4 linked regions of the Drosophila melanogaster genome follow. The protein of the gene in region 4 interacts with the protein of the main gene of each other region in a pairwise test. Each region holds a gene or a part of one and is shown on either strand. Other genes may lie near its edges.

Region 1 (2,923 bases), on a different chromosome or scaffold from region 4:
AGGACTTGGAGGACTTGGCGGCAAGTTCGGCGGCTTTGGAGGACTCGGCGGCTTGAAGGGAGGATTCGGTGGTCTTGGTCACGGCTTTGGCGGTGGTTTTGGAGGACACGGTTTCGGCGGCGGCTTCGGTGGACTTGGCAGCTTCAAGAGCCTATTCGGCAAGAAGTTCCGCTAAAGCAACAGCACTCACCCAAAATATAGTCTAAGAGTTTCGTAATAAAGCTTAGTTAAGTAACATTAAAAGTTCCCTGTTTGGTATATGGGATTCAGAGCTCCATAGAACTGCAGTTCAGGTTCGGGAGTGGTGGTAGTTATACCCGTTTTGGTCCTAACGGTGGGCGGAGTTGGTGACTTAGGTTGAAGACGACTAAAGACAAGACGCACATGACTCGCAAAACTTCGCCACAGCTGAAAGGGTTTTGGAACTGGAAAAGGAATAAAATTAGAATTTTAGGATAATCAAATAACAAAATAACACACGTTACCTGAACTTTGAGGTGGTGCCACCTGCGGATCGAATTCCCGCTCATCCAGAGCTGCCACCAGCCCCACAGTGATCCACAGCAGCAGCAAGCGGAACATTTTCTGCAGCTTAGCCTCGTGGCCCCCTTATAAACACCTCCGATCTCAGCTTTCCCCGCCATAAATCGAACGTGTTATTAATAAACTCTTAAAAACAAGCGATTGGATGAACTTGCATAAGGCAAGCAATTTTATTGCACCCAATGGGGCAGCACAAAAGAAGTATCACAAATCACAATCAAGCACAATCAAATCCATGCAAACTGATTAGCCGTAGAATCCACCGCCATAGTAACCACCGCGTCCGCGGTAACGGGTGCGGGTGACCACTCGAGTTCTCTGGAAACCACCGCCGAATCCGCCACCAAAGCCGCCGCCGTAGTACGGTGGTGGAGGTGGTCCAAAGAAGGGTGGTGGCGGTGGTCCAAACGGTGGTGGTCCAAAGTACTGGCGCACTTTCCTAACGTTCTCGTCTGTGGAATCAGACTGGGCCGTTTCTCCGGCGTCCAGCAGCTGAATAGAGCTTGGTTTCTCCTGCACCACTTCCGTTTCCGTTTCATCGGCTCTAACAAAATTGCATAAGAGCAGAGCAGCAATGCTGAAGAAAAATATTATCCACTTGTGATCCATTTCGATGTCGTATTCCTTCTCCAACTTCGTCAAATACTAAAACTCATCGCCCAGCTGGGCTTTAATTTATAGCCAAACATTTGCCAAGAACACCCAGCACCTGGTGTCATAAACAAAGGCAGTTCATTGGCATTTCTTGATTGCCATTGAGTGTCTTTTTTTACATTTTTCGTCTAATTTCAATCGCAGTCAGGCAAAGACGCCGAGAATAATCGTCGGTTTGAAAAACCCAAAAAATCGCTTATACAAATACATAAGGTTGACCCAATCTTAATGGGTATATAAAATGAATTATGATGCGGAAGTGTGAGGCAACCGTGGAACGCAAACTAGATCTCTTTGGATTGTAACTCGATGTGCAACTGATTGAGATCATAATGGGTAGATAATTAACTGTGAATGATGCAAGGTTACTATAATAATAATCAGAGTAAAATATATTCTTAAGATCCATATTTGAAGTACCAAGTAACCAGATACCATTTGAGACGAACATTCTTGACATGACAAGACAAATCAACAAAAGTCGATAAAGACTACAATTAGCAATCCGATAACCCACAATTGGATACCGCTCTTCAGGCCAGCCAACTTGACCCACTGTAATCGCTTGATGGCTTGTTGTTTACCACTTAAAAAGCCCATCCGCCTCGCCTCGCGCGATATTCGACATACATATGTACATATATATATGGAAGCAAATAGCAGCGAGAGACTCTTCCAGAAATAACAGCCAGTTAACTACGGAATATGCAAGCTCATCGACTTTGTCGATTCCAAACACTCGGCAAAATGAAACTCGATCTTGCAGTACTTTTTTGTTTATCCATTGTTTACACTAGAGGGTCTCAAGAAACGCTCAGATTTATTCGGAAACGTCTAGCCAAAGAAACCGCCTTTGAATTTGGCAAAACCCACAGCGCCGCCAACGAATCCGCCGCCTCCGATGCCACCTAGTCCGCCCAATCCTCCTCCAACGGGATAGCCACCGCCATATCCGTAGCCATAGCTGGGTATCGTCTGTATGACGGGAACAGTGGTGATGATGGGCACAGTGGACACAACGGGAACTGTTTGGATAGCGGGGGCTGCCACTATGGGGGCAGCAACTCCTCCGCCTCCGATGATGCCGCCGCCCACGATACCGCCTCCAACGACTCCGCCACCTCCAAATCCACCAATGTGACGGGGTCTTCTAATGTTCTCCTCGTCGACGCTGGAGAGGATCGGTGTGGTGCTGACCACGGCGCACGCCAAGACGAGCAGGTAGACAGTTTGCCACAACATGATGGGGTTAACTGTTTGGTCTGCCCCACTCCCAGCTGCTTATTTATGCAAATTAATTAGTGGCCACTGTTTGCACTTCCAATTTGCATATTGGGGCGCCCGGGTAAAAAACCCATAACTCTAAGGCCCCATCTATGTTTTGGCGGTTCTATTGGGGGAATCATGGTTTTGCCCACTGGTAAGGTGGTTCACACCTCATCATCGTCATCGTTTGTGGTCTGAAGGTCGCCGGCCTGGGCATTAAAAGCCAGGTGATTTAGTTAAGGTAACTCACATCGTTATTGGACACTCAGCCGAGATGAGGTGCGATCTTCAAGTGCATTTTTTGTTATTACTGGCAATTGGCGCTTGGCGGACTGAAGCCCATTCCCTGGGAGGAGGTGGAATCGGAGCGGTTGGAGGAGTGGCAGCCATTGGCGGAGTTGGTGGCATCGGAGGAGTCCAGCAGGTTCCCGTTGTGCAACAAGTGCCCGTTGTCCAACAG
Region 2 (3,268 bases), on a different chromosome or scaffold from region 4:
GGAGGGTTGTCCCTAATGGGAAAGCACTCGCAATCCATGGGAGGCCTCTACTAGTAATACAATTGGCTTTAAGGTGTAAGTTGTGTGCCAAAGAAATTCCGTGGCTGAATGTAAAATCAAACAATTTAAAATATACTATGGCGCACTTTTGAATTCCGCGACTCAAAGAACAAATTTCAAATATTCCAGAGCTGCCTAAGTAATAATGCAAAGTTACTTCAAGAAAGTTGTAGATAACAGCCTCAATATACGCTGCCAACTTCAGGTTTTCCGGGTAATGGAAATGGAAATGGCTGCAGGCGGAATGGTTTGAAATGAAAAGAACCACGTAAAATGTCGTGGATCGATTATCTCCAACACGAATCCTTCCTTCCTCGACACTTCCGCTGCAGTTACCACCCATGGATGCCAATTACAAGTGGAGCCCGCTGAAGGCGACGAGGCCGTACTGAAAACTTGTTGATGTCCTACCGGGCACGGCGGGTGGTAATTGCACCACCCACTGCCACACAACATTCCGCACCCAACAAACAGGACAGGTGTCAACCGTGAGTTCGCTTCTGCGGAACAGTTTCCTTTCACTTGTTGCTTTATTGGGCTTACATACATACAATGGAGACACATTGAATACTCCACTCCGGCTACGAGTACTCCACTCACCACTGGAAGATGGTCAGCATGGCGCGTAGCAGCTCTGGGATGTCCCAGCCGTTCTTGCGCAGGGTGCGCAGTGGCTTCACCACGTCGCGCTTGTTCTGCAGGATAATTGAGGAAGTGAGAATGAGAAGTAAAGGAGTTAATACACTGCCACACTCTTGTGTACTCAACTCGAGTGGGTCTACTCACAATGTTGGCCTTGAGCGTGGCCTGGAATTGCTTGGAGACCACCGCCTTGGTGAAGTTGCCGAAGTTGGTGTGATTCGCCTGGGACTGTGCCACATAGTTGTGCACCTCCTGCTTCGGCATGATGGAGAGCAGATCGCCGACGAAGGTGTGGTGCTTCACGGCCTTGCAGTCGCAGTTGCGATCGGGCTGGCGGACGGGCAGTATGATGCAATGGAAGATATCCGCCACGGTCTCAATGTCGGCGGTATCCACGCTCTCCGACTGCAGTTCCTTGAGAACGGTCTTGTAGGCATCCGTATCCGTGAGCTGCTGGGTGGTCCTCTCGAATCCGGCTGTGTTGTAGTACCGCATGGCGCGGCGGAACTTCAGATCACAATTGTAGTGCACCTCGATCAGATTGAGCAGGGCCTCCTGATTGATCATAGCGCGAATGTGCTGGAAGTTGGCGCACAGGGCGGAGTCGTGATCGGTTCTATTCGGATTGTTATTATCGGTATTGTTATTTTCTGGTGGACACCATTCCTCTGATTCCTCGGACACCTCAATGTAATGTGGCTGTGCGATCGTGTGGCAGGCGAATATGGCCACGGCCACGGTCAACAGTATCAACGTCTTCGCGTCCATCGTCTCCTTTTTAGCTGGCCGAGATTCAAGTTAACTGTGGCCGGAACCCGCCGTTCATCACCTGCTTTTATGGCCCTCCCATCGGCGGCAGAGTCAATTACATGCATTTCCCCTTTTCTCGGACACATCGCTTATCGCCTGCCAATTAGCGGAATTCGTCCGAGCCACTTTCCGCTTATCAGTTGGCCAAAAACAAGCCGTGTCATATGTGCGAAAATGGTAAACACTATTCAACATTAGCGCCAAGATAAGAGCGGATCGTGTTCTAAACATCTTTTCACACTTGAAAACAATGATTCACAAAAGTGGGTTGTTCATTCCTTCGTGAATAAACCAGCAGGATATATAGGATATGAATTGTGCTATTTATCTGATGTTCTCTTAGTGCACAACATCTAATTGTTTGCCATTAGAGCTTATAATTTCCGAAATTCGCTTATAATCTCTGGGCTCTGCGCTTCATTAATTGCAAATTAGAGTTGCTCCCATGCTGCCCACCAAAAAGCCTTATGACTTATGCACCTGATGCTCCTCGTCTGTGTGCATGTGATTATGACTTTGGGGGAGTGAATGTAGTATGTATGGTCAAACCCACTCATTAGTTCCGTAGTTCTGGCAGGATGGGAGAAAACAGGACGAGGGGACTCGTCAAAGTGAGTCCAACGTTTATCCACAGGACCAAGTGCTCAGACCCCAGAGTGCAAAACAAGTTTGGTGGGGCATCAGGAGCAAAAGGACCCAGCTGTCCAGAGGGGGGGCAGTGATTGTTTGGCCAGGGGCTTCGCTCCTCAACTTGCTTGATTCATGGCCCTCTGTTTGCAGAGCTACTCGCAGGAGATTCAAATTCCATTCGAGCTCGGACGAAAGTTTCCAGCACTTTTCGGCACTCAATGGATTGAATGAAATCTGGCGAATTCAGGAAAAAATGGAAAAATTCTGCGTAATAATATTAATAATCATGCGCCTCGCTGGGCACATTTATCTTGCCGCAATTGTCATGAGTTTCTGGGCTCCGAAGATATCTCTTCCGCTTTCATGACAAACAAATGTAGCAAATATTTGCCAACCAATGGACCGGAAATAGTTCCATTCAACATTTTCTTTTTTTTTTGCTTTGTTTTCATGTTTACGCCTTTTTTTGCAATTTTTTTGCAATGCTCGAACTCAATTGCGAATTCGGAGACATGGGAAAAATACAAATTGCAGCGAGTTTTACAACAGAAAATAGTTCCAATTTTCCTGTAGTTAAACTTGCTTCCACTTAAGCTTAATCGGCGATTTATTTCAGTGGATAAAATAGTTGGCGCAGCCGGTACAAAATTCAATTCAATTCGGCAGTCAGCAGCTCAAATGAAGCAAATAAACTGCATGCAGTGTGCAAACTTTTGGCCAAAGGTGAAGTTCAGCTCAGATGGCTTACAAACGACCCCTTTTGGCCCGGAAAATGGCATGGCATGCTACACACACATTTCACTTTGCATGTGAGCGCTTTTCCTCAACTATCCGCTCGTTATTTAATTGCGGTTTCCTGACCTTGACTAACGTTTAATTAATGCTGGCGGCCAATAAATTGTCATAACCAAAGCAAACCGCAGAGCCACTTTTTAGCCCGTTTCCGCAGGCGAGTGACACACGATAACCGCACGTCAGCAAGACATGGCCACAAAGTTGCTCGCATCTGGCCAACCATTTTCATTTCCCCCAATAATTTACTCAATTAAAGCGCCGAACTCGAAGGCATTTGCGTGAATCGCTTTATTACAGCACTTAGAAACGCTCCCCAATTCAGTTGTGGCGA
Region 3 (7,907 bases), on a different chromosome or scaffold from region 4:
TGCTGTTCGGCTGGCTTTGCCTCAACCTCCTTGAGATCGTCGCTAATATCCTCCGGACTGGCAGTTCCACCTCCGTCATCAACGTCCAAGGTCTTGGGCAGCGGTCCCAACTTCTGTAGTATATCCACTGGCATTATCTCCGTTATTGTGGGCACTGAACTCACGGTGAATTGAGACGGCAGTTCGGGTAGAGGCGGCAGCTCGGGCAGAGGTGGTGGTGTGAAGTAAGGAGTTTCCAACGCGGGAGATGGCGTCGTGTCAGTAGAAACAGGCAAGGGCACAGGTAGCGGCACTGGAACAGGAACTGGAACAGGTAATGGTACCATTGTAGCCGACTGAGGATAACCCTGATAACCACTTCCATCCAACACGGGTATGGGTTGTGGCAGGACATTAACAGGCACAGGAGAAACTGCAGCTCCACTTGACGTTGGCGGCGGACCACTCAGGTAATAGGGCATCCCATTGGGTACAGGCATGGGCATCGCTAGGGGCGGTGGAGGATGTTTGCTAAAGAATTCCTTGAGCATTGCTCCTCTCGTGACAGCATCGACATGCGCAGGTATAAATGGTGGGCGGTGTCGCAGGAATCCTGGAGGAATCTGCGGCAGGCGACCGGTCTTCATTAGCATGGCAAAATGCTTGGGATCGAATGGAGGGCGGTAGGCTGAACGCAGCGTGCGTGTGTACGTCTTCACTATTGCACACTTGAAAGGATCAAAATGAAAGTATCGGAACTTCGGTTTCTTCTGCACCAAAACAGGCTTTTCCAGATTAGCTGGCTTGGTTGTCAGTGGAGGCGGTGGTGGTGGAGGCAACAGAAGTAGCTCATCGCGAATCAGTTGCAGCTTGGCGGCGGCTTGGGAGCGACTTTCGTGATATTTCCGCAGGGCACGTTTCACCGCCATTTCAACGACCGCCCGGTCTTCGTTGTCGCTCTCGTATGCGGGCAGCACCTTATCCACGAAATTAACGCCTTTTCCCTTTGGTTTGCTAAAAATAATTACATTGTTACTATATATATTACTATATATAAATAAATTTAAAACCCTGTTTTACCTCGTGTCCTCAACTGGTTTATCTGTTGCATCTGGCACTATGTTCTCCTCTGCTTCCAGTATATCCTCCCCAGAAGGTACTATCTCCAAAACGTTTCCTTTTTGTACGGCCACTGGCATCCCTGACGCCGTAGCCGCCATCGATGGCATTGCCTCCAATGGCGCTATAGGAGCAAGGGATTCCACGGGCATCATCGGCGCCATAGGTAGTTCCCTAAGAACCGATCCAGGTGCCTGAGGTGAAGAAGCTACTTCGACCATATAATCCATGTACGTATTCGAATATTCTTCAGAGTACTGTGCATACGCTTGTTCCATGTTGTACGCGGAGTCCATATATGCGGCATAAGCATCATAGCCCTCACCCAATGCGTTCTGATCCTCCTGCTGCATCAATGACATATTGTAGTAGTAGGCAGCCGCTTCCATGCCCTGATTTTCCTCAAAATAATTAGCGAAAGCTTCCTCTGCTGATAATCGAGACCTTGGTGATATAGACCGTGATCTCGACCTGGAAAACGATCTCCTTCTGGTTGGTGATCGTGCTTTGGACCAACTGCGTCTCATCGGAGGAGACGGTGGTTTGAAGGGTAAGGGCGAACGGGAGCGAGATAAGTGTTCACGTTCCCGATCACGACTTAGTGATTGACGACGGCGGGAAGGAGGTGGTGACCGAGGTCCAGCCAATTTTTGTGGAATAGGAGATATTGAACCTCGTTTTCTATGCCCTGCTGGTGGCAACCGTCTTCGTCTACTTGGACTCCTACTGCGCGTTCGACTCCTTGTTAAACTTCTACTATGACTCCTGCCTTTCCTAGTTCCTCCGACGGCTCCTCCTCCTATTCGCTTAGCGTATCTGGAAACTCTTCTGGGCGATGGAAGACGTCGGCGTCTGGGGCTGGGAGTACGCGACTTGGTCCTCGAGCCGCGACGTCGTGCCCTACTTCTTGAAATAGAACGGGACCGGGATCTACGACGACTTCCTGATGATGGTGGCGGACTCCTTAGCTTAGGCTTTGATCGAGATTCGACAATGGTGGGTTTCACAATGGCAATCTCCTTTTGTGGCTTTTGCAGAGTTTGTTTGGGAGGCTCCGCCTTGGATGTTTCCGGTAGATCTGCTTCATCCTTGTCGAAGATGACAGATTTCCTAGTCAACTTCAATGGCGAGATGGTCAGTTTGATGGCTTCCCGATTGGCACTGAAGATGCTGTTTACAGGAAATGATGTTTCCTTAACCACCTCTTGTGCCTGAACAGTTCCCTGTTCATCCACTGGCTGCTGATCCTCACTGGAATTGCTTTTAAGTTCCTGTTTGCGATACTTATCCATGATGGCATTGCGCTGCATTAGAAATAAGGATTCCATTTTTAGCAGTTCTTCAGAGATCTCATCGCCCGCATCATAGTTCTCACGCATCATCTGAATCCTAGCCAGATTGTCTTCAAGGCTCTTTAATTTCCGTAGGTCCTTGCTTACATTGTTTTTCTTTTGCAGCTGCTCCTTACCAGCGGCTTCATCCTGATTTGTGTTGCAATTACCGGATGTTGTGGCCGATTCATCATTCGAAGAGCTTTCATTGGCATCGTCATCTGAACTGGAGTCATCCTCGGTTTCGCTACTGCTGCTACTTGTTGAGGAAGTCTCAGTGCCCGAGGAACTTTCTTCGGCTGGGGAATTGCTCAAGGAACTGTTCTTTGAGGTGTCCAGCGTTTCTGGCTCCAAATGCTCGTTGGACATCTTAATACTATTCATGAATTTGTCATATAGTTCATGGATGTTGCCCTCGGGCAGGTTCTCATTTTTCCTTCGCGGAGGAGGTGTGCTTTTTGCATTCCACAGAGCGTTGGAGTCATCATCGTCATCATCGCCATTAAATTGCGAAGCTACTGGTGGCAAGGGTGTAGCGTTAAGAGATGCGTTTGCATTTGGAGCGGGAGTAGGAGTAACAGGAGGTGCGTTCTTGGGCATACTGGCCAATGAATCGTCGTTTTCCCAGTTGTCGATGTAGTCATCCGTATCGGGACTTTCCTGCTCTTTTGCCGGTGGAGGAGCATTGGTCGCCACTGCACCGTTTCTAACCAGCACATCGTGCTCCATGTGCCGGGGAGGCGTTGCATTGCGTTCGATTTTTATAGTGGTTCGAGTAAAGTTCGTTTGCAGAGGCGGGGGTGTAAGATCTTTTTCTTTCTTAATGCTGAATTTTGTATACTCATCACTCTTTCTTGGTTGGAATCCAGTTAGCTGACTGCCATTTAATTGATTTCTTTCGAGTTCTAGATCCCTATCCCAATTCTCAACCTCACTGTCGTGTCTTTGAAATCGTCTCTCCTTGCTTGAAGGGCGAGAGGAGGATTTCCTCCCGCTTAATACTGATTCGCGCTTGAAAGGATTTATATGTCGTGGTTGGCTTTTGTGATGCTCGACCTCTGCCCTACCAGTCGCAGATCTATTATGCCTGCTATTCGGAAGGTATTCAGCTTTAATCTCTTTGGGAGCCTCTTTTCTCTCTTTGTATTCATTAGTGCGACGGAACAACTGCTCTTTAGTAGCTAGTAGATTATCCAAATGCAAATCGCTCTCCTCGAGCAGGGCGCCAATCCTACTGTGAATCTCACTGGCCTTGAGCAGAGGAGCCAGTTTGTCGGCTTTAGCGATGGGGACAATAGGAATGGATGACTTCAACGGCGGCGTTGTACTCCTTTCAATAGTTGCAGCTGGAGCTGAAACGGCAGTGTTTACTCGTGGAGGTGAGTCGGCAAAAATATCAAAGTCCTTGGGATTTGCGATATCAACAATTGGAGTCTGAGGGATCTGAACTTGTGGTGGTGTCATTGGGGGAGTTCCTTCCCTGCTCCCCCAAGGCGAAAGCGTCTGATTTTTTCTTCTTGATGCGTGTTCTCTTGTTTTTGCACTTTCACTGAAGGATTCATGCGGCATGCTTGATCTCTTGGAGCCATCCAATCCATTTTCTTGTGGCGGATGCTCCATTAATGTGTCCTTGCCGCTTTCCTTTGGGCATTTCGTTACTGATTGTTCTCTCGATCGCTTTATTTGCTTGTCCTTTGAACGTTCGTCTGTTTTTTCTCCCAATGGCCCCAAGAGTTTGTCCTTTTTGCGATCAGTTGGCGCTTCCTTTGAATTTTCTATTGCATTTCTTACTTTCTTTGCTTCAGGCTTTCTTTCTTCAGACTTATTCTGCGTTCTTTCATGCAGTCTTTCCTTAGAATGGTTTCTATCTTTGGAACGCTCTCGAAGCTTTTTATTTGCGTTTTCTTCATTCGTATCCTTATTTTTAACCTTGGATTCATTTCTTTTTTCGCTATGCTCGGTAGATTTTCCTTCAAGCTTTTCCTTGGATAAGTCTTCATTCTTTTCCTTATCGCCTAGCTTTTCCTTTGATTTTTCTCGACGCTTATCCCTTGAACTGGACCTTTTCCTTGATTTTGCTCTAGTATGTTCCGCGTCGTTTGCCTTACTTCTGGTTTGATCTCTGGCTTGTGATTTTTCACGTGTTTTATTCCTAGTCCGATCTCTCTCCCTAGATCGGTCTTTAGTTTTACCTCTGGATTGATCTCTTTCCTGGGACTTTCCACTCGCTGTATTTCTAGGCTCACCTCCAACTTCATCCTTTTCCTTAGATAGATTCATACTTTTTGCTCTATTTAAATTTTTATCTTGGGATCTTTCTCTACTTTTCCGTCGAAACAAATCTCTTTCTCTTCCTTTCCCTCTGCCTTCATCCTTGTTCTTGGAGTTTTCAGTGGACTTTCCGTGCGATTCTTTCGACCTCTCCCTAGTTCTTCCTCGATTTTGGGTTCTGTCATGGGATCGATTACTTGTTTTTCCTCTGACGTAATTTTTGTGCTGGGGCAACTCTCTCGATCGATTGTTTTCAATTAAGGGTTCAGTGGACTTTGTTTCGCTGGGAAGTTTTGATTCCTTGGAGTTGTGGTCAGTAGTTTCCGCTTTAGTCCTGCAGTTCTCATGCTTTGTATTGGAGCACTCGGAAACAAGATTAAAGACAAAGGACACTGGCGGTTGCAATGCTGTCCAACTAAAATTAATCATATTAAACCTAACTTTCTACATAAATATGGAATTTACTTACATCACATCCGATTGGAGTCGCTTGCAACGACCTGAATTGCTGTTAATACCTGTAGGTGGTGGATTTTGAGGTGCATACGCTCCCGGCGGAGGTCCTTGCGTTGGTAGCCCACCCATCATGGGAGCTCCCATGCGATTCGCTGCGGGTGGGCGACCAAAGAATGTTGGTCGCATGCCCCTTGGTCCGCCCCTGTTCATTCGGGGCATAAAGCCCATGCGTGGAAATTCAAAGCAAGGAGCTCTCATGTGGAATCTTAGCGGATTAATGCCCAAGAACGGCGTGGGCGGTGCTTGGGGCAGGGTAGCAGCTGCAGCCTCCTCCTGCTTTTCCTTCCTCGCCTTCTGCACATCTTCTACGTTTTTGAGGTCCTCCCCCGAGGAGTCCGATTCCGAATAGAGGCCTTCGCTATCGTCCGCATCCTCGGCTTGGGCATTTGGTGTCCCGCCAGATCCGTTCTCTTTGCGCGCCTGTTCCACAACGCTAACTGGTAGCTTCCGTAATGTTTTGCTTATCATCAGCTCTTTGGACAGGTGCTTTTTGACTGCCGGACTGCTGGGATGATAATGGGGCGGGGTCACCACCTCGCCCGGTTCCAGACTGTTGGTGTCATTGTCCTGGAGATCCTCCGGGGGCTTCAACTGTTTGCCAGTGGCTGGCTGCTCCATTCCGACGGCAGATCCTCCAGCTGCTTGCGACATTTTCACATCCGGCGACCTCAAATCGGTTTGCCCCTCACTCCGTCCCCCTTTTCGATGATTCTTTCTTGTTGTTTGCGGGCGCACACGCTTTTCTTTTTCTGCTCTCTCAATGGCGGCGCGGTGTTGCTGGGTATCCACGCAGCGTTTTCCCCTGCCGAGCGGTAATATTGATTGGGCTGCGCGGGCGGACGTCCTCGTCGGTTGCAGCGGTGCACCAGCTCGGCGTTTGCGGTATCATGTACGTTTCCGTTTAATGTTTATGCCATTATGAAAAACCAAAGCCAATAACTTTTCTGCAGCGAGTAAACACTACTCAATGCAGAACAGAGACTGGGCACATTGAATCTATCGGCAGGCAGTACTGCCAGACCGCTATTACCAAATTTACTTAAAAAGAAGATACAAATTTGGACATTTCTCTGCAGACATTTTTAAGATAGTTTTAAGTCCCCATTTTATTATACAGCAACATGGCACAATTTGTATTAATATTTGTTTAACTATCGCCGTCTTAACAGCACTGAAATTTTCCAGTGTGAAAACTACTGATATTATTAATGCTTCTAGTTCTATCGATATAATAGCGAATACACCCACCTTAACATATAGCGAGTGCACACTCTGTTAGCGTTGCCACACTATTTAAGTCGTTACGCTCCGATATTTTGAAATGGATTTTAAATTCATTAGCTTTTTTTATTTACTTAACGACTGTCTTTTACATGCTCGAAAAGTCGTCGTAACTGTGTGAAACACAATCAAACACCCAAATGCGCTTTACCGCTGCAGACTGCACTTGTTTCCGCTTCCTCTTGGCGAGCGGCATTCATTCGAATGCGAAGTGCAAATAAATGACAAATACGGTTACCGTTGTGCCCGCTAAACACACAGTCACTAAATATATATGAACAATATGTGCGCACAGTCAAGCGAATCGGAGAAAATGCGCCTAAGCGCTGATATTATGACATTGCCATTGCCCGCCGATTGAGGGAAATTCGAAAAAGGCGGAAAAGTTTCCCTCTGGCACATTGAGATGCATCAAATATGAAAAGAGTTTGAGTTTGCTGCACTTTTCCAATCAGATAATGTTTCTATATATATAATATATATATTTACAAATTATCATTTTCGTAAAAATTGTAGTGTTTTGTATAATGCATTTTAATTCAATTTCATTTTAATTAATAACAACAATTTACCTCAAGAGTTTAAACAAATGGATGTCCGTAATTAATCTAAACCTTTAACACTGCAGTTATGCTTCATTTTCATCTCAGTGCAACGGAGTTGCCTTTAATTGCCGACAGCGCTCTCAGTTTTTCTTTCATTTTTAGATTTGCATGTGCAACTTTCTCCGGCTGCCGACGTCGACGGCGCTGCTGCAGCGCTGCTGCAGCGCTGCGACAGAGGCGAAAGGTGCAAATTAATTTGTGGCGCTCCACAATAACCTTCCTCACTTTTATCCCCATCATCAAGCATAATCTCCTGCGTTTCAAACGATTTTCCATCGTTTTCTTCTCAGCTTTGTCGCGTTGCTCGGCTGAGCTGAGGTTCAAATATAAAAGCCGATCCCCAAAATGTGAGGTGTTATCTCATTTTGAAAATCACCAACTGCTAAGTGGATGCGCAATGAAAAAGCAAAAAAGTGCCACCATTGTTTGAGAACGTCGAAAAATCAACTTGGATGTCCCCGAGCAACGCTTGGGTTGAACATACGTACAATACTCATTGTATCCCATCACTTCTTCAAGCAGGGCTTTGACTTTGGGTTTTTCTGGGGCCATACATTGGCGACCACGAGACATCTCGAATTTGGCACTTGGGTGCGAAAACCTTGGAGAGCATAGCATCTTTGGGCTGGTGGTGGCTTTGTCCTTCGGAACATAAGGAACATCATATTGCGCGTATGTGGAAACAAGACTTCAAGTCCAGAAACTTAAGGATACGTTGTGAAACAAATGCTAGCTGTTTTCGATGTTAAACCAACGCACATAGCATTTTCAACTAAGCATTAAGCATTCCTCTGAGTAAAGCAAC
Region 4 (3,398 bases):
CTGGGAATGCGCTACTACCACTACTGCACGGTCATCCGACCGGAGAAGCAGCAGGCGGAGCTGAAGCTCCTGGACGAGGGAGCCCACGACAAGGCCAAGGAACTGAAGTACTAGGCGCGCCCTCCTCCGCCCCTTTAATTGTTAAATGTCTGTTAAGCGCAATAAACTGTAAGGAAATGTAAGCATTTTCAGCTGAAAACGGCCAACGCCGGTTGTTGTTGTGTAACCTCGGACAGCTGGCCAAAGTGGAGGACCGTCGGCAGGCCCGGTGGGATTGTAAGATTCCAGATTCAAGATCTAACCCTGGAACCAAGCCAACAATGCGCAATTAGCCGTCTGGGCCGTAAATCAAACTGGTCGGCTACAATGGGAAATCAATCAATCGACAGCGACATGGACATCGACCCGTTCGGCGGACTAGACTTAGTCAAGAATTATAATTTAGCTGGCAATCAAATATGTTGTCATCTCCGGATCGTGACCAGGTCCCAGTCCATAGACCAAACCCCTTGGCTGCTTGGTCTTCCGCTTGCCCAACGCGTCTCGCGTGCATTCACCTCCAATGGGCAGAGCATAAATATTAAACGATGTGGATACGAAAACAACCGCGGGGAGAAGGAGACAATGGCGGTGCCACCCACTTTTGGCCAGAGATGGCGAGACGTCGTCGATTGGGAAAATCTTTTGCATGCTTCATTCAACAATGTTGCCTCCGGCGTTGCTTCATTCATGACTTGGGAACTCGGAGCAGCAAAAGCAACAGCCGCAGCAGACTGCAATTGCGATTTGCAATTGCCACTGCGGTCAAGGTCGTCCTTTATTGTGTGGGCACGGCACTGGGTACTGGGTAGCAAGTACCCCCGGCAGACGGAAGTGATCGAGAATAATGGAACGCGCAGAACAGAGTCGTCTGCCCAAATGGCTATCAAATTGTTTTAAAACTTTAGTATATTAAGCAAAAGCTGTGCTCCTCTGAATAGAAGATCTCTTCAACCTAGTTTCAAGCCCATTAAAACTAATGACCATTGACCTGGTCACCGATCCTTGTCCCAATATACCCCTTAAGCCAGAGGTCTCCGTCAAAGTCGTGCACTTTGGATATTCTGTCGATAAGACTTTGCATTGGAAATGATCTGGCAGAGATCTCAGCTGTCTGGCAGCTTAATTAAAATGCCAAAACGCTGCCAAACGTGCAATTGTTTGTAATTTGTGTATAATGCTGGCGCGCATATGCGATTCCCACGGGGCCAGTGGCATCCCAGCATTTGGCCAGCTTCTGAACGAGCTTAGGTAATAGTGCGCCTTTTGGGCGCTGCTGGCCATCCGATCTGGCAGTGAAAGTGTTACACGATATGCATACCGTGTACGAGAGGGGCACTTGGTGATTGTGGAACGCGTCGAGTGTCTCGTGTTGCACGTTGCTTGTGGATCGCGTTGCTGCCCCACTTCGGTTACCCAACGAGCCTGGGATCTTAGAATTTCGACTACGCTGGCAATTATAACCGATATCGTTAGTTTCCACGCCCACTCCACCTCACTCCCCCCACTGCAATCCTCCGCCAAGTTCTCCTCCGCCGGATGAGCGGATGGATGACCTTTTGGCTCCGCAGCATAAACAATATTCGGTTTCAAGTCCTCAACCCGTCATGCATTCAATTCAGCTGCAACAATCGCTGCTGCTGCTGCTGCTGCCGCCGTTATTGTCAGTTTGCATAATTGCAACTGTAGCAGCAACTGGCAACAATAAGCCAAGCCGGGTGACTATAAAAGCGTCGGGCCACTGGCAGCCATCAACAAACCTCGCCTGGCGCCCTACCCATCAAGTCAACCAGCCAACAGCCACTAGCAACATCTGCAGCAGCAACATGAAGTTCTTGGTAAGCAGCAACACCAGGACATTAGGATACCAGGATACCAGGACACCGGTCAAGCAAACGAGTGGACTTTTTTTTGAGTGACAGTTTATCCAACAAAATACAAGTTATTTAAAATTGCTGGAAGTGCTCTGGCTACAATTTGAAACAAATCATTTGTTAACATCGTTTCAAATGTTTCATATACCGAACCTTTTTTTCTCTGTGCAGTGCGTGTTCGTCATCCTGGCCATTTGCTTCATGAGCACCTGGGCAGCAGTTTCGGAGCCTGCTCCTGAAGCTCTGGAGCCGGAGCCATCCGCCGTGGATGAGAAGAAGACGGAGAAGAGAGGCATCTACGGGTTCGGCCACGGCTATGGCGGCTACGGCGGATACGGCGGATACGGTGCCTATGGACACGGTCACTACGGCGGCTACGGTGGACTGAGCAGTCCCTACTACGGCGGCTACGGATACGTCCATGCGGCGCCCTACTACGGCGGACACCACGGCTACTATCCGTACCACCATGGCCACTACGGCTTCTACTAGGACCACTACCTATCCCCAAGATCGTAATGCATACTGTTTTTTTTTTCTCGATCGCTCCATGCTCATCACTGCACCATCATTCGTATATGTATATGTACTGGTTTTCCCCCATCATTCACCGCAATATAAATGTACTGCAAATAGCGAATACATTACTCGCATGTCTTTGAATTTGGGTTGGATGTAGTACAAATATGATATATGTACATATGTAAACAAAGTTAAATCCTACTCAACAATAAAGAATCGATTACATTGCATATGTATGACAGTAAAAGTGATTTTCGGTCACTCTATGGGGGCCAGTGAAGGTATAAAGCCGCTATTGGCCCAGTGACTGTTATACAAAAGTCACTGTTCTAATTGCGATCGGCGCGTGACCACCAGTCTTTCGGATCATCAGCAAAAATCAGGAATTCGACTTCGAGATGCTGAAGCGCGATCTGCAGAAAATCACACTCAAGCTGTCCGATCTCAAGGACTATGAGGTTGCCCGCCAAAAGAACAAGTTAAAGGGCGCCCCGCGACCTAGGCTTTCTCAGGACGCCCTCCCCGGAGACGACGCCTCCACTTCGGGAACAACGGCAAGTTGCAGTTCCAACACGGAAACGGCCACGGAAACCGCATCGGGATCCGGATCAGGGTCTGGATCGGGCTCGGGTTCTGGGTCCGGGTCGTACATTACGGGAATGGGCTACCGTTCGGAGACACCCTCCTCCGCATCGTACACCACGTCGACGACCCCGACTCCGGCCACTCAGGAGGAGATACTGAGACCCTCGTCCGCCGTCACGGCCACCACAACCACTGGCACCACTAATTCCGGCTCCACGGATGACGTGAGCGTGGCGGCCGTAGTGGATGACACGGATACCATTGACGAAATCAGCGATGACAACTGGGTGGACCTGAATGCGGACACCAACGATACCGTTGATACCCAGCCGGAGGAGCAGGACCAACTGCAAGAGGTGGAGGAGGAGGATGGGGCTA

What was found.
Region 1: the proteins of CG17777 (region 4) and CG13227 interact in a two-hybrid assay, tested with the Drosophila melanogaster proteins (one large-scale study listed by BioGRID).
Region 2: the proteins of CG17777 (region 4) and CG3906 interact in a two-hybrid assay, tested with the Drosophila melanogaster proteins (one large-scale study listed by BioGRID).
Region 3: the proteins of CG17777 (region 4) and l(3)psg2 interact in a two-hybrid assay, tested with the Drosophila melanogaster proteins (one large-scale study listed by BioGRID).

The regions. Positions count from the first base shown.
Region 1 is NT_033778.4:11,233,519-11,236,441, reverse strand, and holds CG13227 (uncharacterized protein), read right to left. Parts: upstream 1,191-2,923; 5' UTR 1,153-1,190; coding exon 790-1,152; 3' UTR 687-789; downstream 1-686. Other genes in the region: CG13217 (uncharacterized protein), read left to right, coding at 1-175; CG34223 (uncharacterized protein), read right to left, coding at 238-425, 486-582; CG13228 (uncharacterized protein), read right to left, coding at 2,032-2,439; CG13218 (uncharacterized protein), read left to right, coding at 2,738-2,923.
Region 2 is NT_033778.4:23,510,731-23,513,998, forward strand, and holds CG3906 (uncharacterized protein), read right to left. Parts: upstream 1,496-3,268; 5' UTR 1,471-1,495; coding exon 847-1,470; intron 756-846; coding exon 657-755; 3' UTR 556-656; downstream 1-555.
Region 3 is NT_037436.4:5,581,967-5,589,873, reverse strand, and holds the start of l(3)psg2 (lethal (3) persistent salivary gland 2), read right to left. Parts: upstream 6,206-7,907; 5' UTR 5,868-6,205; coding exon 5,170-5,867; intron 5,116-5,169; coding exon 1,060-5,115; intron 994-1,059; coding exon 1-993.
Region 4 is NC_004354.4:2,185,064-2,188,461, forward strand, and holds CG17777 (uncharacterized protein), read left to right. Parts: upstream 1-1,791; 5' UTR 1,792-1,865; coding exon 1,866-1,877; intron 1,878-2,084; coding exon 2,085-2,405; 3' UTR 2,406-2,678; downstream 2,679-3,398. Other genes in the region: CG17776 (uncharacterized protein), read left to right, coding at 1-114; CG3457 (uncharacterized protein), read left to right, coding at 2,834-3,398.